Regions from separate parts of the Mus musculus genome. Here all the other regions are reported to be linked to region 1. The links are microRNA targets in miRTarBase. Many come from high-throughput screens and were not tested one by one. Region 1 holds a microRNA gene; each other region holds the end of a gene's coding sequence. Distances are between the middles of the regions.

Region 1 (4,087 bases):
TCTAGGATAGTACTAAAGTTCCTCTGTGTCCTGGGCCACACCTCCTTGGTGTGAATCTTCTTGGCTTGGCTGTCACAATCTTACCTTCTCCACTGTCCTTTTTCTAATGATAGGCGTCTTGTGACTCCTGCCCTCTATCTCCTCCCATGTCTATCTTGTCCACAGCTTATGTTAGGGAACAAGAAGCCAGGCAACTGCAGGGGCAGAGACAGCCTGGCTGTCTGAGATTATTTCTGAAAAAGAATTCTGAACACAGCTCCCCCAACTCTTTCCTTGTGTTTGCCCATGTCTTTTGATCCAGCCTCAGCAACACAGCCATCTATATAACATATCTCTGATTTCAGAACGACATGAAACCAAACACCAGGGTAGAAAAAAAAATCCATGGGCTAGTTAGAAAAAAAGATAGGCTGTCAATGGAAAGAAGTTCAGTTTGAAGCATCAGATATTTTATATAAAAAAGACTGAAGTCTAAAACAGAAAGGACAGAGATTTTTTTTCCTGGAAAATGCCAGTGTCGGACACCATACTAATAAATACAGGTTTTCTCGATCTTCACACATTGACATTTTGACCTGGGTACTTCTTTGCTATGGAGATGGTCTGTACACTATACATGCTTCGTTGCACCCCTGGTCTCCACACCCTAGACACCAGGAATACCCTAAGTGTGACAACAATTTTTCCAAATTACCCACTTCCTGGGAACTGATCCACAGTGGTACGATCCTATGCTCAGTCCTCTAACTGGCCCTTCTCTATTAATCTCCCCCCATCCACCACCCCTGTTCCACACTCTCACCTATCCCCAGAAGAATAGGGTGGCATGCTCATGATGGTAGCTAGGGAACTACCTGGTTCCTGAAAGAGGGATGTAGTGGTCCCCAGTGTGGCTGCATCTCACTTGGGAGTATGAACACTGCCCAGTGTGTTCGGTATGCTGATGTTTTTGAGGGTCCAGGAAATACACATATCCTTTATCTTCCTTTTTTGCCATTCTGGGCTTCTGGGCATGGTGCCAGTCTTCAAATGCCATGGTGCTTCATTTTGTTTTGGGTAAGAGCTCAGGCTGCATGTTTAATGGAGTCTTAGCCTGCATCTGGCATATCACTACAGCGCCTCTTCTCGGTTTCCCTCTAGAGTCTACCTCCTTCATGACATGAGCTTAGACACTAGAGTCAGAACTGGGAACACAGGGCACTGGGTTGAGAACAAAGGAACTTAGGCCACTGAATGATTGCAGCACTATTTTAGGACCCCCATCTTTCTTCAGACAGTGTGACCCAGAAGCAACACACTGACATGGGGTTGTGAAGTAGAAAGAACAGCAGCAGGGCCAGGAGATGTGGAGCCTTCTACCAGGGTGGTGTTCTTCAGAGCCCAGTAGTTGTATACTCTCTGTTTATAACACAAGTCACACACCTGGCACCATGAACTATCCCTGAGCTTGCTTGGTAGAAACATCCATTGCAGGAGCCATATGAGCAGAGGAAGGAACTAGGACCCCGGGAGCTGATTCCCTGAGAGTAGATGTGAAGGATGTTGGTATAAAGGGGCTAGGATGGGGAGCATAGTTGACCTGAAACCCAGTATTGTGGGAGAAGTCTGTAGAGGTAGATTTCTGGGGAAGAGGGCACCTGCAGGTAAGAAAATGTAGCCAAGGAACGAAGAAGTCAACAGCATATTCTCTGGGTGGAGCCATCGGCCTTGAAGAAGCACTTGCCAAAACCACACACTTCCTTACATTCCATAGTGCTGAGATATCTATGAGGATATAAAGAAGCATGTGGCCTGGGGAAGCTGTGTCCTCCGAGGCACTTGTCACGCAGAAGGAAAAGCTGCTTTCTTCCTTGCACAAGTGAGAAGTGTGAAGAATCTCTGGGACCTGACTTCATCCATTCTACACTCCCAGAAACTATCCTGGAGTAAGGTGCCATCTTGGCCTAACAGGCAGAGCTTGTTGGGAACAAATTTCCCCCTATACACTTCAGTCTGAGATCAAGGACCCCAAGGCTCCCCCAAAGGCCACTAGAGATTTCAGCGTAGTTATGGCCAGGCAACCTGTGTTATCACTATAATTACCAGGGTGCAGGTTGCAGGGTGGATTTGAAAATGCTTCTTTTTCTTCTTCTTCTTCTTCTTCTTCTTCTTCTTCTTCTTCTTCTTCTTCTTCTTCTTCTTCTTCTTCTTCTTCATCTTCTTCTTCATCTTCTTCTTCTTCTTCTTCTTCTTCTTCTTCTTCTTCTTCTTCTTCTTCTTCTTCTTCTTCTTCTTCTTCTTCTCCTTCTCCTTCTCCTTCTCCTTCTCCTTCTCCTTCTCCTTCTCCTTCTCCTTCTCCTCCTCCTCCTCCTCCTCCTCCTCCTCCTCCTCCTCCTCCTTCTCCTTCTCCTCCTCCTCCTCTTCCTCCCCCCTCCCCATCCCCCCTCCCCTCTTCCTCCTTAATATTATGGAACTAATAGAACATTAAAACAGGGGTAACATGTGGAGAACTGCTCAGCTTAGAGGCTGGCCCAGGCGCTATTGTACTTCCTATTTGGGTTGCTTGGAATATGCTGACAGGCTGCAGCTGCCAGATGAGCATTCCAACACAATTGTTCATTGTGGAAGGGATCTTTTTTTGTTCAGCCCCTGCTGCTCGTGGCCAATCACCTGCGTCACAATCTGTGAGGCCTGGGCTGTAGGAGATGAATGGACACTGGCAGCTGTTGAGCCATTCAGGGTCTGACTGATCACCCTGGATGGGGAAAATTAAGGGTTTGAACTTCTTGGCATAGAATTCTCTGTCAGGAAATAGAGAAGCAAGCTAAGAGGAGAAGAAGGGTCCCGAACTGGCTCATAGCTCTGTGAGGGCTGCTTCATACAATCAACAAACAATAATAACTTTTTAATAATAATAAAAAGTAACTTTTTTCAGATAAGTTTTATATGACAGGATCATTTTCAATGTCTTCCCTATGCCAGCTCTTTGAATCCTCATATCTATGTGAAACTGTTTTACCCGCTTGTTTCTGGTTTTACACATGAAGATATGGCTCTAGAAGTGAATTAAATTACTTATATGCAAATGGAAATTATTAAAAAAAAAGAAAAATCAAACCAGATTGGAAGAACAGCCTTGGATCAGTCCAGGCTTTCTTTATGAGAGCTTGGAAGGTAAGAGGTGTTGGGAAGGAAGGGAGGAAGGAAGGAAAGAAGGAAGGACACAAAGGTTTTATATTCCATTTTCATCCTTCTGCAGTTTTGAGCTTGGTATGCTGGTATTGCATTGATTTAGAAGTCATGTGTGTGTGTGTGTTTCCCTCCCTTAGGTGTGTAGGAAAATGATCCAGGCATACTAGCATACTAGTCAAAATCTTTCTGCATGACACAGGGAACAATCCAGTAATTCACTTAATGTAATCTATTGGCTGTTTAAGATTCTTTCTGCTCTGAAAGGATACCATTCTTCTTGGATTAAGCATAAGCTTTATGTAAGGGAATCTATGGCCAAACTTCCTGCACATTTGGTGGATTGGTCTATCCAAAGCACAGTGCCAGGGACAGATAACTCTGTAGCGGGCTACTCAGGTCAAAGGAGATGTTGTCTTCTCTCAAAGATGACTTTGAGACCAAAGTGTGGGCACTTTGCCCCTTCTTAGAAATGAGGAACAAAACACCCATGGAAGGTTGAGACAAAGTTTGGAGCTGAGACAAAAGGATGGACCATCTAGAGACTGCCACACCCGGAGATCCATCCCATAATCAGCCTCCAAACGCTGACACCATTGCATACACTAGCAAGATTTTGCTGAAAGGACCCAGATGTAGCTGTCTCTTGTGAGACTATGCCGGGGCCTGGCAAACACAGAAGTGGGTGCTCACAGTCAGCTATTGGATCGAACACAGGGCCCCCAATGGAGGAGCTAGAGAAAGTACCCAAGGAGCTAAAAGGGTCTTCAACCCTATAGGTGGAACAACAATATGAACTAACCAGTACCCCCGGAGCTTGTGTCTCTGGCTGCATATGTATCAGAAGATGGCCTGGTCGGCCATCAGTGGAAAGAGAGGCCCATTGGTCGTGCAAACTTTATATGCCTAAGTACAGGGG
Region 2 (4,087 bases), 57 Mb from region 1:
TCTGTTGCTTCTTTGCTTTTCTTTTGAAATTCCAGTCTGATGTTATCACAGCAGACACGGTGTAATCTCTCCTTCTCCTGTCTTCTTCCTCTCCTTCCTTCTTTTCCTTCTCCCTCCCCTTCCTTTTGCTGAAACTGCCGTCAGATGTTATCTTGGGTGAGGTCATGTGGCTGCCACTTTGAATTGGGGTCAAAGCCTTCAGAAAAGCTCCTCAATGGCTGTCTAGAGACATAAAAGTTGGCCTTTCAAGATCTTGCGCTGTTTTTGGGGCTGCCATCTGTTTCTGCCCACATTTTAACTTCTGCTCTGCCCGTCATCATTGCAGGTAATGGGACTTCTGACCAACCACGGTGGGGTACCGCACCAGCCTCAGACCGACTATGCTCTCTCCCCTCTCACTGGGGGCCTGGAACCCACGACCACGGTGTCAGCCAGCTGCAGTCAGAGACTGGAACATATGAAGAATGTGGACAGTCTGCCCACATCTCAGCCCTATTGTCCCCCCACCTATAGCACCGCAGGCTACAGTATGGACCCTGTCACAGGCTACCAGTATGGGCAGTATGGACAAAGTAAGCCTTGGACGTTCTAGGGGGTAGTTCCTCCTGGAAGGGAGAGAGATCACCTCTTGCTTGAGAACGGGGAACTGGAGGCATGTTTAAGCCTTTCATCCCAGTATCATTTTTTTGTGGCAAAGACAGCTGATTGCTACAGCACAGGCTCCCTTGTGTAATTATTTGCTTAACTGATGTCAATAACATCTTGCAGTTATTAATTGCTGGGACGGAAAACCGGATTGTCAGTAGGTAAAACACAGAGGTTGGCCAAAATGAAATAACCTCTAGCATTAGAAACACATGTTCTTAATGAGGTCAGCGCCAGGATCATATGGGGATAAGCCCAGGACACAGAGTTGTGTCAAACTTGTCTCAGGAATAAAAATATTAGTCTCGATCCTTTGATACCGTGGTATTAAATATGACATTGTCAGCCTGTAGCTGATCTTGCCCCTAACTGTGAATTGTCCCAGCATGACCTAAAAAGCTGCGTGTGTTTCCTTACAGGTGCCTTTCATTATCTCAAGCCAGATATTGCATAAGTGAACTGTCCACTTGGAGCCCTGTTTCCGGCCTCCACAGACTAGACATGAAGAATCTTCTCAGAAACAAAACAATAAAAAAAATTTAAAAACAAACAAAAAATAAATGAAAAAAAATTCAGCTTTTGGGGGAGGTGGAGACAAAAGAGATTGATTTTCTTTCTCCAGTAGTTGCTTTCAGATTCTTTGAACATATTGGACAAAAGGCAGGGGAGACAAGGAAGACCCAGAGCTCTAAAATGCACCATTTTTAAGACAGTGATGTAACTGGCTACATATCAAAATGGCCCCAAATCTTTGTTGCTGATCAAAGAAGCTAAAACATTCCGTGTGTGTGTGTGTGTGTGTGTGTGTGTGAGAGAGAGAGAGAGAGAGAGAGAGAGAGAGAGAGATTGATTTTCACGGGGTGGTTTGAGTAAGCAGAATGTTCCCATATATTGTAGTTGAATTCCTGAAAGTTAACAGGTTTGATGTCTAAGGCTGACCAAGTTTATGACATTCACACTGCTTATGTAGTGAATTGGGAATGGAGAAATCCTTGATTTTGACACACTGGAAACCGATATGAAAACCAACACCACCATTGTATAGGGCACTAGACTAGATGTGAAGGATCTCCCCAGTAAATTATTACCATACCTTCATTTGTAACCTAGTTATCAACCGATGTCCCTGACATGTCTTGTAAAAAGATGTGGGATAATGAGAAAAAAGTGTGTTATCTGCTGTGGGGATAGATGGATGTCATTTACTTCCCAAGTCACATTGATTTGGAGGCCAGTTGGTGGGGGGGGGGGAAGGGTATGATGTAGAGGAAGTGACACCCATCACATATCTGCTTCTCAGCGTGCAATACTGTGTACCTCACAGATGCTTTGGCAATGGCCAAGGTGATAGAAATGAAATCAGAACTATATTTTTGCAGGTGTTTTTATTTTTGCAGCCCATAACTCATCGTAGTAGAGTGCAGTGATGTTTGCTCGTTGCCAAACAACTCACATCCTGCTTGTTCCTTTTGTTCAGAGACCATGTCTGAGAATCAAGCTCTCTACAGAGATGGTGTTTACATTCGTCTCTTTTCTACAAAAGGCAGGGCTAGAACAGAAATGTCCACGTGGCTCTCATGTACTTTTAAATTATACAACGATACCCAATATTAAAGGATATAGGGAACAGGTTTACATACATTCATGTGGTGACATTTAGGATGTCAATAAATCTGTGTTTTGAAATGTTAAGAGAAAGATGAAGGTGGGCGGTGCTGTTATTTATTTCTTTCTATTCTTGGAACCATGAATGAGGTAGGCACAAATACATTCCCTTTAGATTTAAGAACAATGAGGTAGTGTGTTAGCAGGACTAGACATAGAACTGAGTTATTTTATACGTTGGGCAGGGTGATGGAACAGGAGACATAGTATCTTTGTGTTGCAGCCTCAACCAACAATGATGTGTTGTAAAAATGTCTTTCATGTAAAAAGTGCAGTAAATATTTACTATTTATAATGAATAAACAGTTAATGAAAATGTGCCCAACACTGCTTTTGTGTGTGTGTGGGGGGGGGGGGGGTGCTGAGGATGGAATGCAGAGTGAATGAGAAAGGTGGCTAAGCTGGGCACTGTGGACCCATCCTACTCCTGGTCCCTGGTACATGAGACTGTGACATGGACAAGAGTTACATATAAACCCAAGACGCTGGCTTAAACACACTCTGCAGGACTGAGTTTACAATATCAGGGATGTGGAATCTAGAAGTGCGCCCTCCCTCTCCATCTACCCTCTTTGGTTTCTTTGGTTCTCTCGGAGATGTCAATTCCTTTCAGCCTCATTTATAAATATGTATCTCAGTACACCAGGATCTAACTTCATCTCCCAAAGTTCTCCACATTGAAAATTTTATTTTAAAGACTTTTGTTTTAGCAACTCATTTCAGCCTTGGAAGGAAATAGTCTACTTCTGTCATTGTTTTCCTTTCCTTCTCTTCTTCCCCTATTCCTCCCCACACTTATTTCATGAGAGTCTAGATGTGGCAGGTGTAACACTAGACACTGGCATTGCGACGGCACAACGTGATGAGTCAGGGGGTTGAACTTCTGTTTCAATACATTTGGATGGTTACTTATTATAAGGCGATTAATCAACACCTACTAAACTCTTGTATTCACTTACTCCTCTCAATGTCTCATGTGATGTCATTTCAACTGTGTGACAATCATCTGTAGCAAGAAATTGCTGTATTGGGTAGCATTGATGTAGAACATTCTAGAACGTTGTGGTAGGGAGTTCTGTTGGTCAGCTGATTTAAAACACATGGGATTTTAACTATCCAGAGGAAATGATATACAGTAGGTAAAAGTTTCCAAATTTTAAAAATGCCTATACTCTTTTCAGCTTCCACTTGCCCTTCTGATCCACCATGTTGCTCTTTTTCTGACAATTACTTTTTTTTAAAATTTAAATAATACAGTTGTAGAAAAGGAAGATAATTGTCACCAAACACTTGCTTTTTGTCAGTTCTCACAGGACTCCTGTGAGGTGAGTGTCTTTTGCTCTGTTTTACAGCCAAGTGGACCCAGGTCCAGAGTTGTTAGGTTAGGCTGGGCTCATACCGCACGTAGGAGCAGCAAAAGCAAAGCTCAATTTCTACCAAACGTCGGAGTAGGGGCCACATAATTTTACCTCTCCAAAAGCTGCTTCAGATACTCGTTGCATTATACGAGTCTTGTGCCAAAACCCAAGTTGAAAACAGGCATTTAAAAAAGTAATTCCTTCTCGGTGCATGGAGACATGCTGCCAGGACTCGGATTTCACAACAGAAGCTGGTCTTCCCAGGGCCCTCTCCTGCCTGCCTCCTGACCCCAGGACCTGCCATGTGGGGCCCAGCTCTCCTTCTGATATATGTCTTTATGCCCTTCTCTTATTTCTGGATGTCTTCGAAACTATTGCTCTGTTGGCAGTTCTCATGTTCAAAGTCTCCATAGATCTTT
Region 3 (4,087 bases), not on the chromosome of region 1:
TTTAGTCTGTTTAAATATAGTATTAATACATGTAATGTTTCAATGCTTTGATATCTGAAATTTATTGATTTCTGTTCAATAATGACATGAAACTATGCTATGATTCCATTTACAGAAGCTCAGTAAAATATACTGAAAAATACTTACTATACCACAGTAAGCTTTAAAAAAAATAAAATTAAGCCATTACAGTTAAGTTACAAAAAAGGTGACAATACCAAACATGGCTAACAGTAGCAATCTAACTGGGAACACAAGACAAGGAAAAAAATTTCAACATTCACTCACTTAACATGGTAGTCTGAATTAAATTCCTAACAGTGTGAGGAGGCCAGCTTCATGGGTAGTTTGCTATGCTATGCAAGCTGAGATCCAAACTCACAGTTTCTAAGCTAAAATACTTAGTATCACATCTGAGCAGGGAACAAAACAAACTGAGCCATCTTGATGTATTTAAATTTCAACATCTCTTTACAGCTTTCTGCTTTTTTTTTTTTTTTTTTTTTTGAGACAAGCTATCATTGTGTAACTTTGGCTGCCTAAACTTGGTATTCTAGACTAGGCTGGCCTCATACTCAGAGATCCTTCTGCCTCTGACTCTTGAGTGCTAGGATTAAAGGCATGCATCACCACGCCTGACTCTTTACAGCTTTCTTAAGGCAATGCCAAACAGAACCCTCCTAGTAAGCAGTTTTGAGAAACTATGGTACAGGGCCTGGCACACCCTTCTCTGCTTTCGAACGGCTCATGATATGTGCAAAGCATACCATGCCCCGAAGAAAAGAGAAAGTGCATCCCTACCAGAGGAACTCTGAAGGGCACAGAGCTCTGTTTCTAGGGGAAACATGTTAGCACATTTTGTTAGTTGTTGTCCAGAGCTGGCTTCTTTAGTCCACAGCAGGAAAACAAACTATTAACAGTTATACCTCAAGCAGCTTCCCCTTAAGAAATTGCCCTTTAGCCAAACACTGAGGAGAGCAAGCTCAGAAAAGTCCACAAGAGTGCTACTTGAGACTTCATATGCTTCTTACATGCCAACCCAATCCCTGGTATAGACACCTCAGCTGGACCATTGCCACACACTCTAGCAAATATGCTTCAAGTATTCTACCTTCAAAAAACAAAACAAAACAAAACTCCTAAAAAGAACTTTTCTTTGGTGGGAACCATTTCCTTCAGTGCAACTTCTCAAGTGAACACAAATTCTACTGTACTCTGTCAGCACAAGGAACATGTCAGCAGCCAAAAGAGGGTGAGGAGACTCTGGCAATCCTTCACATGTCTGTCCACTCACTGTCAATCTTTGTTGCTAAAAATCAATTTTCCTTCCGGTCCTTCAAGAGCAAAAGCCAACAAGTATAAGGTCATAGCAAACAGTATCCAGGAAGAGCTATGTGAGCCCCAGTTTCAGCTACACCTCCAACAAGAAATTTGACCCCTAAGGTCTCTGGCTGATAGAACAATGACAATGGCTGTCTCTCAGAGCTTAGTTTTCTTGGGGGGAGATCACAGAACATCAGAACTATGTCACACTGAAGTTCCAAGATGAGAGTGACAGTAAGCTATCAGTGTGGAATGGAAGGACCACTATGCATATTCCAAGCACAAGGGCCTGAGAAGGCTGGAAGAAGGGGACAGCCTAACCATAGAGCAACCCCGAAAAGCTGTGATACAAAGACACGAGGAGGGCAGAGGCAGAGACGGAGTGAGTGTCGCAGTGCAGCCAAGGAGGAATCTGTAGTCTAGATTATAACCTCAGACAGAAGCTTCAGACCGGGGCACATTCTGGAATGATCAATGTTTCCAAAACTGGTAAGGTCAATTCAGCTGGTTCCTAAAAATTAGCGGAGAGTATACCTAGATAATTTCTTTAAAAAAAAAAAAGTGGACTTCTGTGATGATAAAAATGTTTTTAGTTTATAGTGTGGAGTTTTCAGATGATTAGAGAAAGTGAAGGATAGATAGAGAAACGTAATAGATACAAGAGAGAAACTCTGGTTGTGTGACAAGCAGACAACGTGGCTGAGTTATTTAGCAGAACTGGGTTCTTGGGAAGGAGGCCAAAAAAAACATGAGCGTCACAGAGAGGATAAAGAATGGATGGATTTATTGAGACAGTCAAAGCAACAGAGACCTGGGTACCCTCCTCCATCCCCATGAGATAAGGCAAAGGATAATTTGCAAGAGACAACCAGAATGTCAACATGCATAGGCCCCGGCATCCAACATTATTACCAAGGGTTACAAGCTGTGAAAATGAGCTGCTGAATTTGGTGATCTGTTAACTGAGTAAACCTTGAGAAACAGGAGGAAATCAGACCAAGGCAACCCTGCAAATGTCAGGAAGAGGATGGAAGGCAATAGAAGCAACACCAACTAGAACAGGATAGGTATGGGCGTGCATACAGGCTATAAGGAAGGTGTTCATTCAGAGATGTACAAACAGGTCTATAGAGAGGAAGAAAAAATGGAAGTGGGGAACTAAAGAGGTGTTAGGAAAAGCTAAAGGAGACTGAAAAAGGCTTGGAAAAAAGTAACAGACTTGTGGACAGCTGAGACAATAGTAGCCATGGCCTTATTTCTAGAATGCCACCTGCCAAGAATACATACTTCAATTTCAAGCCCATGCTGCAGTCAGCACTGGAAAAGACCTCCAAGACCATTGCTTCCTTAGACTGATTTCCCCAACAGCACAGGACTCATACTTTTCTTCTTCTCGTTCTCTCTGCATCCCTGAGATTAGCTGAGACTTTTCTCTCTTTAGGCGTAACCATACAGACTGGAATAAAACGCTAGACACAGCATAATCCAAGACATCTTCAGTTATCTCAGGGAACCTATTTAGTTTCCTACAGTTTCATGACCAGATATGACAGGATAGGAAAGATTTTCCTTATTCCCTGCACATCTTAAACAGCAAGGAGGAGTGTGAAGAATGCAGTTAGTTTCTAAATATCTATCTACTGCGGGCAATAAAAGCAAAACTCAATTTGTAGAAAACCTCTTTCCTGCATACTAAATCCCTCCTATGTGTTTTCTTCCACAAAGCATGAACCTGTCCCTTTCCAGGAAGTTCCTATTGGGGTGAATGTATGCAAGAACACACTTGTTCAATGATCATTTTTTTAAAAAATCCCATCAAACAGTGATTTTACTTTCAGAAGCCTCGAGTCCCTTTTATGCTAGTACAACTAGCATGCAAACTTTCAGAGAAATATACAGACTATCAGATGGACCAGACTTTAACACTCTTTAACCTGCTAGTTTGGTTTGCAGCTGAGCCTTCTGTAGAGAATAAGTATTCAACCCCATCTCTGCCCATCAGTATCCCACATAACCATCTACATCTTGTCTAGAAAGCACCTCTCTACAGTTTGCGCCTAGAGTTGCAAAGATAAAGAGGCTGTGGAAAGGTGGTCCATTGTGTGGCCTGCCTAAGGTGGGGTCTTCCTTTGGTCACATCCATTTTTCCATGTGCTTCTTCCGTTTGCACTCCAAGGAAGAAAGGATGATGGAACACGTCAGCATACAAGGAACACAAAAGTAAATAAAACATCACCAGAGGAGAGTGTCATCAAAGTGCCGGTGCAAAACCTGAAGCTATCCCATCTCTGCCAGCCCAGACTTGCCACCAAACCCCAGAGGAGGTCACAGTCTTTTCATTTCTCTTCATTGGGAACAAATCAGCAGGGAGGACACGGTTCTTGCAGACAAAGTAAAGATCAAAGCTGAAACGAGAACAACACACTCGGTTGATAACACTCATCTTTTTCAGGGAGATATGTCAGTAAGACAAAGTCATCCACCGCCATTAATAAAAGTGCAGGAGTCACAATAGTGAGTTTTAAAGTCAATTAGAAATAAGATATGGTGAGATGGCTCAGTGGGTAAGAGCACCCGACTGCTCTTCCGAAGGTCCGGAGTTCAAGTCCCAGCAACCACATGGTGGCTCACAACCATCTGTAACAAGATCTGACGCCCTCTTCTGGAGTGTCTGAGGACAGCTACAGTGTACTTACATAAAATGAATAAATAAATCTTTTAAAAAAAAAAAAAAAAAAAAAAAAAAGAAAAGAAATAAGATATG
Region 4 (4,087 bases), not on the chromosome of region 1:
GCAGCAGGAAGTAGGAAAATCAACCTTCCCTTGTTTTTTTAACTTTCTCTTTCCTGGGTGCCTTTTGCACTCTTGGGCGTTGGTGGCCCTGACAGTGGGAGGGAGGAAGTATAACAGGCTGGTTGGGGTGCTTTTACTTTGGGGGACAGTCTAAGGCTTCTCCACAGAATAATGCTGTCCAGTTTGCCCAGCCCCCAGACTCATCCATCAGTAGGTCTGGAAGCCCTGCCTCCTGCTGGACACTCTGAGAGGTTGACCCAAGCAGCACCTCAGCCAGATATGGTTCTCAGCACAGCTGTCGCTCAGTACCAGTGTGTCTCCAGCACTAGTCAGTGCTTATGTGGTCAGCCAGACCTACATCTGCTAGAGCTGTGTCTCCACTGAGTTTTGTAACAGTAGCCACTTTCTCTAGTATACAGCTTGGCTGAGACATTCAGGTCGTCTGTAGTGGATGTGAGTCTGATGGTGGAGGCTCACATCTGGTGGTGACATCAGAATCAGCACACCAGATGCAGAGGCAGGTGGACTTCTGAGTTCACGGCCAGCCTGGGCTACAAAGAGCAATCCTGTCTCAAAACAACTAACCACACCAATAATAATAATAATAATAATAATAATAATAATAATAATAATAATAATAAAGTGCTTCTGGGGAAGTCACCCAGGGGGCCATTGGATAGAGGCACCGTCTGCCACCCTCCGGTCCTGTTCTGTCTCCCTGTTGGAAGTACTCAGCCAAGAGCCACTACTTTGCAGGGAAGTGAGCTCCGGAGTCACAGCCATAGCCTCTCAGAGGATGGAGTGGTGCAAAGAGAAAGAAAGAGTCGTCACCTGAAGCAAGGCCCCGCCCTTGCCTTCTCGGCTGAGGATGGCTGCACTTTGTATGTGCACTTGGGGAGGCGGATTCTGGAAATGTTGAAACTAACGAAATACTGATTAATGCACCACTTTTGACAGTCAGATTTGAAATGGAAAAGCTGCCGTAGTGGCTCAGAGCCATCATTCAGAAGCGGAAAATAGCCAATTTCTCACATTCGTGCGCCCGCTCCGAAGGATTAATTATCAACACACGCAGAAGCAGCGGTACAGGACAGCTTGGCAGGGTTTCCAGGACGCGTGTCATCGCTGCTTCCAGCCTGGCCCATCACAGTTGATTAGAATTTTAAGGGATTTGAGACCCTGGAACCTATATCAGTGCACAGAAGTCTAGAATAGATAGGTGAGCAAAAAAAGTGCCGTTTTTATATTTCTGGATTCAAACCACTGCTGATTTCCATCACATTGCTCTGGGGGTAATACTGGCTCAACTGGATGAGTTTCTGGATGCAAACCGCAAGCACTTGAGCTCAGTGGCTTAGCACAAAGCAAACACCAGCACACAGAGTGTGTGTGTGTGGCGTGTTCCCAGCACCCAGTACTCCACCTTCTCCCCTCCAGGGCAATCATTCTCTGGTGGCGCCTAGGGGTTTGTCTCTTCTGTCTGTTGCTCTCTCTCCTGGGCTCTCATTCTTTGTGCCCTGTTTTGCTGTCCCATAGGCTGTCTTGCCTTGTTCGGGCAGTTCTGCAGGTGAGCCAGGCCTGCTTCCTGTGTACTGGGTTTGGTGTTATTTTGTGTGTTTTCTTTTGTGAGTTCCAGGACAACTAAGGCTACACAGAGAAACCCTGTCTCAAAAAACAAACAAACAAAAAAAAACAACAACAATGATAATAATAATAATAAAATTTTTAAAGAAAAAAGTAAGTTCTCAAAATAACACTATTGAGTTTTGTAGGTTTTTTTTTTTTCCTTTTGGTTTGTTTGCCTGTTTTTGTTTTGAGTCCCTTTATTGGTTCCAACCCAAGATTCAAAAATTGAAACCACCTGATATGATGATCAGTTTTGTCACAATGACAGAACTTACAAATCACCTGGGAACAGAAGTTGTCTACATCGAGTTGACCTGAAAGAATGTCTTTAGGAGATTGTCGTAATTAAGTCAAATTAATGTGGGAAGACACTGCCTACTGTGGGTGGCATCATTCCCCAAACAAGGGTTTCTAAACTGTTTAAGAGTGTAATGATTCAGCCCGACACAAGGAAGCAAGCATGCATCCACTCACTTCTTTCTCTCTGCTCTTGACTGTGGTGTGATGTGGTGAACTATTTTAAGTTCCTGCCTCTTCTTCACAATGTTGGACTGTAACCTGGAATATTTAGTTAGGAAAAAGTCCCTCTGTCCCTTAAGTTTCTTTTCTGTTAGGTATTTGCTTAAAGCAACAGAAATGAAGCTAGATACCTGACCAAAAAGGAGTCAAAGGTGGACTGACAAAGCACATGGCTCTGCCCCAAGATGGGAGTTCAAGTTAGCCCTGTGGAGGAAGAGGCCCAGAAACCCCCACTTTGGACCTTGCACAGAAACCAGACACTTGGGTATTAACTATTCCTTTATTAGGTGGTAAGGGAACTGAGAAGGTGAGGGTTGTACAGTGCAGGACCTGGGAATTCAGCTACAAAGGACTGTGACCAGGTGCCATATTACAAAAACAGCCTAAAAACATTTCTATTAGGCAGGCTGAGCCAAGAGAACAACAGGAAGAGGGAGAGCCACTCCCACCTTCTGCCCTGTATTTACAATTAGAAGTGGAATGCATACAAAATACATCTCCCCTGACGTGCCCCCCCACCCCAGGCCCTAAAAGGTGAGCCAGGCTCTGGGAGGTGAGCCTGGAGTTGAGGCTTTGAGCAGACAAGACCCCTTTCCCAGTGAGTCTACACGTCTTATCTGGAATGCAGTGAAGTGAGGAAGGGGAATGGGGAGGGGAAGGAGGCTCCCAAATGTCCCCTGACCCCAGGGGAGGGTGTGCCCAAGGCTGGCTACTTGGTACATACGAGGGCCACATACTCAGTACGTGGAGCCCTAGTCATATCTGTGTACTCAGTACACAGAGTCCGGATTGGCCAAACGGGCCCACAGACTCAGCCCCACGGGGGCGCTGGAGGAATTTGCAGCGGGGGGAAGGGAGCAACTCCATATATATATTTTGTAAAAAATAATAATAATAATAAGTTTGTTTAAATGAATTTGTCTCTATACAAAATGTAAAAAAGAAAAAAATAATAACTCACTCTTGTCAGAGTGTGAGACAATGAGAAGCAGAAAGAGGGGGGGGAGGAAGTTGAGGCAGGGAGAGGGATCAAAAGGAGGTCCCAGATCCCTTAGGGGGCCAAGGTGGTGGAAGGTCAGCCCCTACCCATTATAAATAAAGGAAGACTGGGGGTCTGGGCTGGTGACCAACTTGGTCACACTACAAGACAGAGAGGTGCAGGAAGGCTGGGACAGAGAGAAAGGGATGAGAGTAAGATTAAAAAGGAGGAAGAAAGAAGTCATAGAGGAGTGTCACTTCAGCACCCCTCAAATCCAAGAACTTAGGCCATCACCTGCCTCTTGGGGGTAACTTCTGGTTGGGGTCCCAGCTGAGTCTGGGACTGAGGGAGGGAGGGAACAGATATGGGGTGTGGCTGAGCAGGCAGGGCTCCAGAGGCTGTGGCATTGGTAGCAGTTGCTGGGCTAGGTGTTGAGTCAGACCAGTCTGAGAGGGATGGGGGGGATGGGCTGGCCCAGTGCTCTGGGGACTCAGGAGACGGGGTCAAATAAGGATGCTCGCTGGGAACCCGCAGGAAGCGGGCCTTGGTGGGGCTACTGCGGGTTCCTGCTGCAGGATATTCCTCTCCATGTCCTGGAGCAGCCAGGTAGGGTGGGGGCCGCTCTTGGGGAGAAACTGGGGCTCCTGGGTTGAGCAACTGGGGTCCCGGAGCCAGGGGCAGCAGGAATGAGGGCCCTGGAGGGGCAGGTGGAGGCAGCCTGGCCCAGTCGAGGGGAACAGCTACAGGATTGAGCAGACCAAAGCTGAGCACACAGCCCCCAGGAGGCTGGCGCCCCAGAGGACCCGCCCTACTTGCGCCTAGCTGTGCCAAGGACACCGCGGTGGCCGTGGTGGCATAGGGGCCCTCCAAGGGGAAGCCTCCAGGGGAAGCAGGGGGCCCACTGAAAGGCCGTGGTGAGTCCAGAGAGTCCACCGGTGACAGTGTGACAGAGCTGTCTGCCAG
Region 5 (4,087 bases), not on the chromosome of region 1:
CTGAAGGCCCAGATGAGCAACTTCCTGGCCTCTACCACCAACCAGCAGGAGATTGCTTCTCTTGACGTCAAGGTGAGTCCTTTGGGGCCAGGGTGAGGGTGAGTTGGTCTGTTCCTTTCACCCAGCACACTGACAGGACCTCAGACCCTAGAGCTGGAGCACATTTGACACAGACACCCCTTCTCCAGATCCATGAGACCATTGAGTCCATCAACCAGCTAAAGACCCAGAGGGATTTCATGCTCAGCTTTAGCACCGAGCCCCAGGACTTCATCCAGGAGTGGCTCCGTTCCCAACGCCGAGACCTCAAGGTATACTTCTTGTTTTTTGAAGGGTATTCCATGGAACATAGTGGGTAAAAGTTTTTCTACCCCATGTCTCAGGTAGACTGACCGAGGCAGGGGTGGGAATCGTGCCACACACACCTTAACCCCTCGTTCTTCACAGATCATCACAGATGTGATTGGAAACCCTGAGGAGGAGAGACGAGCTGCTTTCTACCACCAGCCCTGGGCTCAGGAAGCAGTGGGGAGGCACATCTTTGCCAAGGTGAGGCTTTGCCATTTTGGCCTCCGCTTTTCTTGAGAAGCTGAAGCCTGAGGCTTGCTTTGTCGTCTTCTTCAGGTGCAGCAGCGAAGGCAGGAACTGGAACAGGTGCTGGGAATTCGCCTGACCTAACTGCTCAGGGATTGCCTCCTTCCTTCCTCCCCTGCCCTGGATGGAACCTGGCAAGAGCCCGTCCTCTGGGTTCTGGCTTGGGCTGCAGACATGTAGGATGGAGTGAGGTGTGTTTCCTGTCACCCTCCACTCCCCAGCTTTAGTTTCATAAATGTAGTTTTAGATCCCTCACTGCTTGGTTCCCAAAGCCTTATTACTGACCTTTTAGCGCTGGCTTTAATTGGGTTTGCAATGAGCGGCCTCAGCCCCCTGCAGGCAGGCAGGCCTGAGTAGGAGGCTGGAGGCTGTGCTTTAACTTTGTACCAGACATTTCCAAACCAAAGGCTGCTGGGTTTGCATGTTTACAGGCTCCACCCTAGGGCCAGTGCCAGAGCTGGCTTTGGGGAGCTGGGCAAGGAAGAGAAGGCCCTAGACTCTTCCTGGCCTTTCTAACCAAAGTTTTTTGCCATTCCTACAAGCCCAGTCTTGCTGCTGGTTTGTCCTTCTTTTTGGGTATTTGCACTATTTGGGGAGCAGGTTTTTCTATGTGGGAGCCACTTTTTTGTACAGAGGTAATGGGGTTTTTCAGGGAGCCCACTTGGTGCCTCCTTCTTCCTTTCTTTTCTTAATCTATGCAAGCGGCTGCAGCCGCCATCATCTCCTGGTATGCCACAAGGCTGCCCACCCATAGCTGCTTGGGCAGGGGGAGGTGGAATCTCCTGAGAGTGGCAATGCCAGTTCTCTAACCCAGTTACAGCAGGGGTGTGTGTGCGTGCGTGCGTGCGTGCTGCAGGGGAAGGGGAAAGCTGGAGGACTGCTGTTACCTTTTGCAGTCGGTCTTAAAGAGGATGGGCCTAAGGCTTGGCAAACTTGGAAAATTCCAAATAAATCTTTTTGTTTATTGGTGGTGCCCAGACCTGGTCATTGAACAGTGCAACCGCGTATTAACAAACTGGAGTTGTAGTGTTTATCATCACACAGACCTTTATTGGTTGGGGGGGGGGAGCACACAAAGGACACAGCCTCACTTCCATAGCTTCTTGATGGACATGTTTTTCTCACTATCCTTTTGCATGACCTGGAGAGGGAGAGAGAAGAGAGTGCATATACACGGGTGAGCAGGGATTTAGGAACTGTGAACACAAGCGTGACCCCTGCTCCAGAGCCACCACAGCAAAGGCAGACAAGTGGAGGCACATATACCTTAGCTACTGCCATCTCAAAGTCCTCCTGAGTGACGTGGACACGCCGTTCCCGCAGGGCGTACATGCCAGCTTCTGTGCACACACCCTAGGTGGACAGAGAAGCTCAGACCCTGCTGCTGGAGCCCCTTAGCCCTGAGTTGGCTCTTAAGGCTTCCTGCTATTGCCCTGCTCCCCTGAAGCCTCCAGTTACCTTCACTTCAGCCCCTGAAGCTCCCGGCATCAACTCAGCAATTTTCCTCAGGTTGATCCCCCTGGTCAAGTTCATTTTCCGAGAGTGGATTTTCAAAATGTCCAGCCGGGCCTAGGGATAAGAGAAGAAAGCCCTAAGCCCTGCACTGTCTCCATAGCCAGAGCTCCTCCAGGCACCTCCAGCACAGACCTCCTCGTTGGGGGGTGGGAATTCAATTTTTCTGTCAATCCTCCCAGGACGAAGCAGGGCAGAGTCCAGGATATCAATCCTATTAGTAGCCATGATAACCTGGGAAAAGAAGGAGTGGGATCAGCTACACAGCTCGTAGGCCTGCATCCGCCTCACACCTTTCGCTGGCTTGTCTAAGGCTTATACCATCTCACCTTGATATTCTTGGTGGCCTCAAAGCCATCCAGCTGATTGAGCAGTTCCAGCATCGTGCGCTGTACCTCACTGTCGCCTCCAGAGCCCCCCTCCAGCCGTGAGGAGCCAATAGAGTCAATCTCGTCCATGAAGATGATGGATGGAGCATGTTCTCGGGCCATGACAAACAGCTCCCTCACCATTCTTGCCCCTATGCAAAGGCCAACCCGGCATTAGAGCTATGTGCACCCCACCATCTACCCTTCCACTCACTCCTCACAGTCTTAGCCAGTTACCTTCCCCGATGAATTTCTGTACCAGTTCAGAGCCAGAGACACGAATAAAGGTACAGTCTGTATGATGAGCCACAGCGCGGGCCAACAATGTCTTCCCAGTGCCTGGGGGTCCGTAGAGCAGGACTCCCTAGAGGGAGAGTATACATTACACTCAGGGGAAAAGGGCAACTCTCTTACGGAACATGCCCACGTGAGGGCTTTGTGTTGGATCCTTGCTTGAGGTGAGGGAGATGCCTCTCCTGGACTGTGTATTCAAACTAGCTTACTGCTCTGGAAACCTTGTTGCTGGCTGTGGTCAGTGTGAGGCTAAAGCTGACGGTACCTTTGGCTGTGCGATGCCCAGTGCTTCAAAGAGCTCGGGGTGCTTCACGGGCAGCTCGATCACTTCTTTAATCTCCTTGATCTGCTTGTCCAGGCCGCCAATCATCTCGTAGGTTGAGTCTGGCACCTTCTCCACCATCATTAGTGACACCAAAGGGTCCACCTTGTTAGGTAAGATCTTATGCAGAGTGTAGCTGTCATTTCTTAGAGCGACCCGACAATTGGGCGTCACATCGTTGATATCAATGTTCTTGTCCACATCAACAACAAATTTGCCCTCAGGATGGACCTGAGAAAATAATAATGGGCTATGATCTCCCTCGGTGGTCAGCATAGCCACCCCAACCAGGATTCCCGCAGGGAAGCTTGGGGGCAGTGTGACAGGGAGGGAGCACTAGGAGCCTGGCCGCGGCGGCATGCTGCTTTTACCTTGACCAATACTTTTTTCTTATCCATGGCCCTCACGACTTCTCCAACGTAGGAGCCCTGTTCCTGCAACAGCTGCAGCTCCTCCCGCAACAGGCGAACTAAAAACAACAACCACCCCCAAACCATTAAAGAAACATCAGCCACCGAAGGACCATTTTTTTAACACTTGGAAGGGATGAAAGAACTTAAGACTTGAAAAGGGCTTCCAGCAGGGCTTTGAAGAGATGTGCACGGGAAACAGCCACAGACAACAGTGAGACTACACTGTCGACTGAGAGGAGACTGAGCGCTGCACAAAGATGGGGACACCTAAACCCTGCCTCAAACCAACATTGACTTTTCTATCTTCTCCCCTCTCACCTTTTGCATTCAGCTCATTCCTCTGTGCCTGCAGTCTACGGAGATTCTGGCTCTTATCATTTACAATCAACTGTGGAGACAAGAGACAACCCCATTACTCAAGGTCAAAGCCTGTAGGAAACTGGATCTTGGCTGAGACTCTCTTTCTCCAACTCCCCACCTCCCCCCACCCCCAGACAGGGTTTCCCTGTGTAGCCCTGGCTGTCCTGGAACTCACTCTTCGGCCTCTATCTCCCAATTGCTGGGATTAAAGGCGTGCACCCCAC
Region 6 (4,087 bases), not on the chromosome of region 1:
CTTCAGTGAGCTGGCAGACCCCCACTGCACAGGCTGTGCTCAGATCCTGGGATCAGAGTGAATCTGTGGGTGAGCCCTTGGGGCCTTCAGCTAGGCTTTAAGGAAACCATCTATCTTTAAATTTGAGGGCCAGGGATCAACGGAATCCACTTGTACGTGATGCCAATTTATCCTGAGCAACACTTCTAGCCCACAAAGCTGGATACACCCTCAGAAACTGGAATACTCCATTCCTCGAATTTGGACCCAGTGGCTGCTGGAGGACAGAGCCACTGAGACTTTAGGACAGCAGGAGTTGTCACCTCGAACTGCCTTTAAAACTGCTCAGCTCAGTTAAACAGGGAGTGACTACCACATGAAGCCCTGGACTTAAGTGCTGTGCCCCAAAACATGTCACTGGGTCTTCTGACCTCAGCTGACCCATCTGTCTAAAGGATTATGAGAGAGTTCACACTCAGTGTCTTTGGGTATGTTGTCACTGTTGAAAGGTCAAAGATAGGTCTTCCAGGAGTTCTGAAGTAAGTTACTAAGAGCTGGGTTTCCTTAAAATTTAAGAGGGGGACTTTCGATGCCATCCACAAAGTTAAAAGGTGCATCTGAATGTGTCGTGGTCCCAGCTGCAACTGCCTTCCAAAGGGCACGTACAGGACAGTAAAGGCCGAGGCTTGTGGGGAGAGCAACACCAGCAAGACTGGCAGGAGCAGAGATTTCTGCTGTCTCCAGTGCTGTTTTCTCATTTGGGGCTTTGAAATCTACTAAGCCCCACAACCCCCAAACTAGGAACAAAAGATGACAGAGTGGGCTCAGGTGGGAAAAGTTTTGAAGCAGGGAAAGTGCTGAGGACATAGCCGAGTCCCCAACTGGCTGGCACATCACACTGCCTGAACTACAGTCAGACTGTAGAAGCAGTGGGGCCCTTGAAACTACTGTGGCTGTGGCCAGAGATCCTGTCACAGGTCCCTGTTCCCAATCTCACCTCCCCCAAGAACCAAGATATAAAACTTTGTAACAGTCCTGATGCTTCAGTGTTTTTATTTTTAGGAATGTATACTGTCACTTGTAAAGGGACAGAGGGAGGGACTGCATCCATCACAGCGCCAAGGCTATGCCTGGGTGCTTCCCCACTCTGCTCTTGGAGTCACTGCTAAAACCCCAAGGCCAACAAAGTCCCTTCAACTTGAGTACAGGAAATAGTTTCAAGCATTGACAATTCTTACACATGATTATTCAAGGAATGCAAGACAGCCACGGTTCAGACAAATCAACTACAGAAAGTATTAAGAGACGGTGTGGAGGGAGGCCCTGCTTCTTAAAGTAAACGTGAAGGAAGCACAGTGGGAGGAGGCTCTGCCCTCGGCCAGCGGGACTGGAGGCAGGGTCAGGGTGGGATGCGGGGGTCAAGTCCACAGAACTCAGGGACACCTTGCTCTCTTCCATCTGCAGAAACCCAGAACCACTCGTTGTCTAGACAGGATTGGGGTATGTGTGAATACCCAGGGAGGACCAGAGGGACCAAAGGAATCAAAGGGAGAGACATCTCTGTCCTTTAGACCCCAGGGGAAGAGCTCCCTGTCCAGGCCTGGAAACCACAAGGGCTCTGCTTCAGATGCAGTTGCCGGAGGGTGACACGCCTCCAGCCGACACCACAAGCATGGTGCTGCTTTCTCACTTCCACAGACGCTGGAGTTTCATAGGATGATTTGGCTGTGCAAAGACATCCCCAGTGTATTGTGAAGACACAGGTTCTTGTGTTGGCCAGATCTGTTCATAGATTGAGGAGGCAGTAGCCATTAGACTTGAAGTACGAATGTGATGTTTGCTGTTGGCAGTGGGCCAGAGGGTGGGGGAACCAGGCAGCTCTGAGGGTTAAGCAAGGGGGTGCAGGAAACTGTTGAACACACTGGCCAGCTGTCTCCAGATGGAGCCACACCATTCAGAGGAAAGAGGTGGGCTTGGTCCTAGAGGGGCAGAATGGAGCAGGGTCTGGCTGGTTGATCTGATGCTAGAACCAGATTCTACAGAGGCTCCCACATACCCACAAGTCACTGTCAGAGGGGGAGGAGTCAAAGAAGCCCATCCCAGAGTGGGAGGCCAGCCTGCCCTGCCACCTACAACACTTGTATGTAAATGAAGATCCTCAAAGGAGCAGGGCAGAGATTCCAGGGCCCTGTGCCCTGTCCGTGACCCAGCTTCTGAAGCCATCTGATAGAATGAAAGTACATTTACTAATGGAGAAGTAATATTTGCATCTCCAGTCTTTGATGCAGTTCAGAATCAATGCCTCTGGCCTTTTAGAAACATTAATTCTATGCAGGGCTTTGTCACTTCTGCTGAGACCAGAAGAATCCCAGTGCACCGGCAGGATGCTCTGCCTTTACCTTTGCCGTCTGGGCAAAGCTGCTCTGCCCACTATGCTCACCCTCTGCTTTTCACAAACAGCTGGGGCCTGGGGCCAACACCACACGTGCCCAGGGCCAGCTTCTGGGAGTGCTCATGGAGGGGCAGATGGAGGCATAGCGACATTCCATGGAATGCTGGTGCACTCTAGTTAGTGCTTGTGGACCCCTACTGGGACGTGCTTGGTTTGGGTACCTTCCTCGGTCCCACTGGCCGATTCTCAACTTCCCTGCTGCCCAGGAAGGGAAGTTCCTTGGTGGGCCAGCACGGCCTGTTACTGGGTAGGGCTTGCCTGTCCCAACCACAGTTTACCACATTCCTGTTGTTCGACAATCCCTGACCACGGTTGTCAACTCCTGCCCTTGTAAACATTTCACCAATCCTTTATGTTCACCTCTATCCTCTGGGGTGGGGAAGGAGAAACCTCATCACAGGAAGGCATCCTAGGAGGGAAGGATGACAGAGCAGGGGCCTGCCTGCGCATCTGCAGGTGACATCACTGGCCCCTGACATCATTTACAGAGAACTGATGGGATGGAATCAAACCCACAAGAGGCCAGTGCAGCAAAGGAAAAGGAGATGAAAAAAACCTCCGCAAAACGAAGCCCGAGGGGCCTGGGCTCCATGTGACCAAGAACTGTCTGTGCTACATATGGAATGGTAGCATTTCCATTTCCTTTAATCTTGGCCTCTTCCCTTGAGAAAAGGGAGGTGGGGACTTGGCTGGACCCCACCTTGAAATCCCAAAGAAAGCAGTTCTTGGTACCATCTATTATGGTTCTACCATTAAAAAAGGGGGGAGTGGGTAAAAAAAGCTCCTATCCTCTGGCCCGGTGTGATGAGGAATGCCATGACCGCCCTCTGACCCCAGGAGAAACGCGCCCCACTATCAGTCATTGGGTACTGGACAGAGGTAAAAGTTCTTTTCCTCCTGGGGTTTGCTGATCCAATTCCCATAGCCCATGTCTCGCAGGCTTTTCTTGAAGTAGTTCTTGGCTAAGTCATAGTCACGGGCAGCTTTCTTGGCTTCACCATAAGAGAGCTGCAGTAAATCTCTGCGGGCTCGGAAGGAGCAGAGCTTCTTAAACTGAAGGAAAATATTCTTCTTGGACACCCGAGACAACTCTTTCCCTGGTCTGGGGAAACAAAGGCACGTGTTATTCATCTGGGAGCAGGTGAGGTGGGGGCTAAGGTGTGGATTTTGCACAGGGTGGATGGCCCTGAACTCAGTACTAGCAGGCAGGGGCCTGCCCCTGGGCGTCTGGAAGGAAGCCTGCCTGGGCCTCTCCTGTGCCCTCCCACTCCTTACCCATCCACAGTGCCTCTGGTGCCATCCAGGATCTCTAGGTCATAGCCATCAGCCATGCACCAGTTGACGCTTGTTTCCTTGGTCTTTCCGGACTGTCTTTTGGAATCATAAACACTGACTCGGCCGACCTAGGAACCACGGGGTGATGGAAGAGAGGCAAGCCGTTCAGGGCAAAGGTTCAGAGCAGGCATGCAAGACTTCTGGGAAAGGAGTATGTGGGCCTCATCTTTCCCTTGTGAGCTGCACTGACTTAACCACTATTCAGGCTAAGGACCGAGAGTCTAAGTCCACGCACCCAAAGGGAAGAAAAGCTTGCTCTTGACTCCCCAGCAAAGGCTCCCTTTCCACAGTACACAGCTTTGCTTAAGGAGGTGTGGGTCA

Evidence for each region. The annotated mature microRNA mmu-miR-206-3p reads UGGAAUGUAAGGAAGUGUGUGG and lies in region 1 at 1,729-1,750, opposite strand. An mRNA with a match to its seed (bases 2 to 7 or 8) in the 3' UTR can be bound and repressed. Matches are read on the target gene's strand: a 7mer-m8 pairs with bases 2 to 8, a 7mer-A1 pairs with bases 2 to 7 and ends in A, and an 8mer does both.
Region 2: the mRNA of Pax3 is a reported target of mmu-miR-206-3p. Seed matches in the 3' UTR shown: 7mer-m8 at 1,421-1,427 and 7mer-m8 at 2,413-2,419.
Region 3: miRTarBase lists Tgoln1 as a target of mmu-miR-206-3p. Seed matches in the 3' UTR shown: 7mer-A1 at 1,787-1,793 and 7mer-A1 at 1,572-1,578.
Region 4: miRTarBase lists Notch3 as a target of mmu-miR-206-3p. Seed matches in the 3' UTR shown: 7mer-A1 at 2,764-2,770 and 7mer-A1 at 2,622-2,628.
Region 5: miRTarBase lists Smarcd2 as a target of mmu-miR-206-3p. The part of its 3' UTR that is shown has no 7-base or 8-base seed match.
Region 6: miRTarBase lists Adar as a target of mmu-miR-206-3p. Seed matches in the 3' UTR shown: 7mer-A1 at 3,051-3,057, 7mer-A1 at 2,528-2,534 and 7mer-m8 at 1,041-1,047.

The regions. Positions count from the first base shown.
Region 1 is chr1:20,676,718-20,680,804 of GRCm38, reverse strand. It overlaps Mir206 (microRNA 206), which reads right to left and starts at 1,795; the gene lies at 1,723-1,795. The region is part of intron 2 of Lincmd1 (long intergenic non-protein coding RNA of muscle differentiation 1); the gene reads right to left.
Region 2 is chr1:78,099,813-78,103,899 of GRCm38, reverse strand. It overlaps Pax3 (paired box 3), which reads left to right. Exons shown (of 8, transcript NM_008781.4): 8 at 326-2,633. The coding sequence ends at 592. Among named protein-coding and RNA genes, the nearest start is that of Pax3, 95 kb to the left of the region's middle.
Region 3 is chr6:72,608,383-72,612,469 of GRCm38, forward strand. It overlaps Tgoln1 (trans-golgi network protein), which reads right to left. Exons shown (of 4, transcript NM_009443.3): 4 at 38-3,728. The coding sequence ends at 3,723. Among named protein-coding and RNA genes, the nearest start is that of Tgoln1, 6.6 kb to the right of the region's middle.
Region 4 is chr17:32,118,414-32,122,500 of GRCm38, forward strand. Notch3 (notch 3) reads right to left here. Exons shown (of 33, transcript NM_008716.3): 33 at 2,407-4,087. The coding sequence ends at 3,407. The region is part of intron 1 of Gm38585 (a long non-coding RNA gene); the gene reads left to right. Among named protein-coding and RNA genes, the nearest start is that of Gm38585, 7.3 kb to the left of the region's middle.
Region 5 is chr11:106,260,657-106,264,743 of GRCm38, reverse strand. Smarcd2 (SWI/SNF related, matrix associated, actin dependent regulator of chromatin, subfamily d, member 2) reads left to right here. Exons shown (of 13, transcript NM_001130187.1): 10 at 1-72; 11 at 189-311; 12 at 448-549; 13 at 625-1,573. The coding sequence ends at 678. It overlaps Psmc5 (protease (prosome, macropain) 26S subunit, ATPase 5), which reads right to left. Exons shown (of 11, transcript NM_008950.1): 3 at 3,822-3,891; 4 at 3,462-3,559; 5 at 3,034-3,321; 6 at 2,712-2,838; 7 at 2,436-2,626; 8 at 2,242-2,340; 9 at 2,053-2,163; 10 at 1,861-1,947; 11 at 1,632-1,735. The coding sequence ends at 1,682. Among named protein-coding and RNA genes, the nearest start is that of Gm23645, 2.5 kb to the right of the region's middle.
Region 6 is chr3:89,750,375-89,754,461 of GRCm38, reverse strand. Adar (adenosine deaminase, RNA-specific) reads right to left here. Exons shown (of 15, transcript NM_001146296.1): 14 at 3,707-3,834; 15 at 1,007-3,533. The coding sequence ends at 3,287. It overlaps Chrnb2 (cholinergic receptor, nicotinic, beta polypeptide 2 (neuronal)), which reads left to right. Exons shown (of 6, transcript NM_009602.4): 6 at 1-1,014. Among named protein-coding and RNA genes, the nearest start is that of Chrnb2, 12 kb to the left of the region's middle.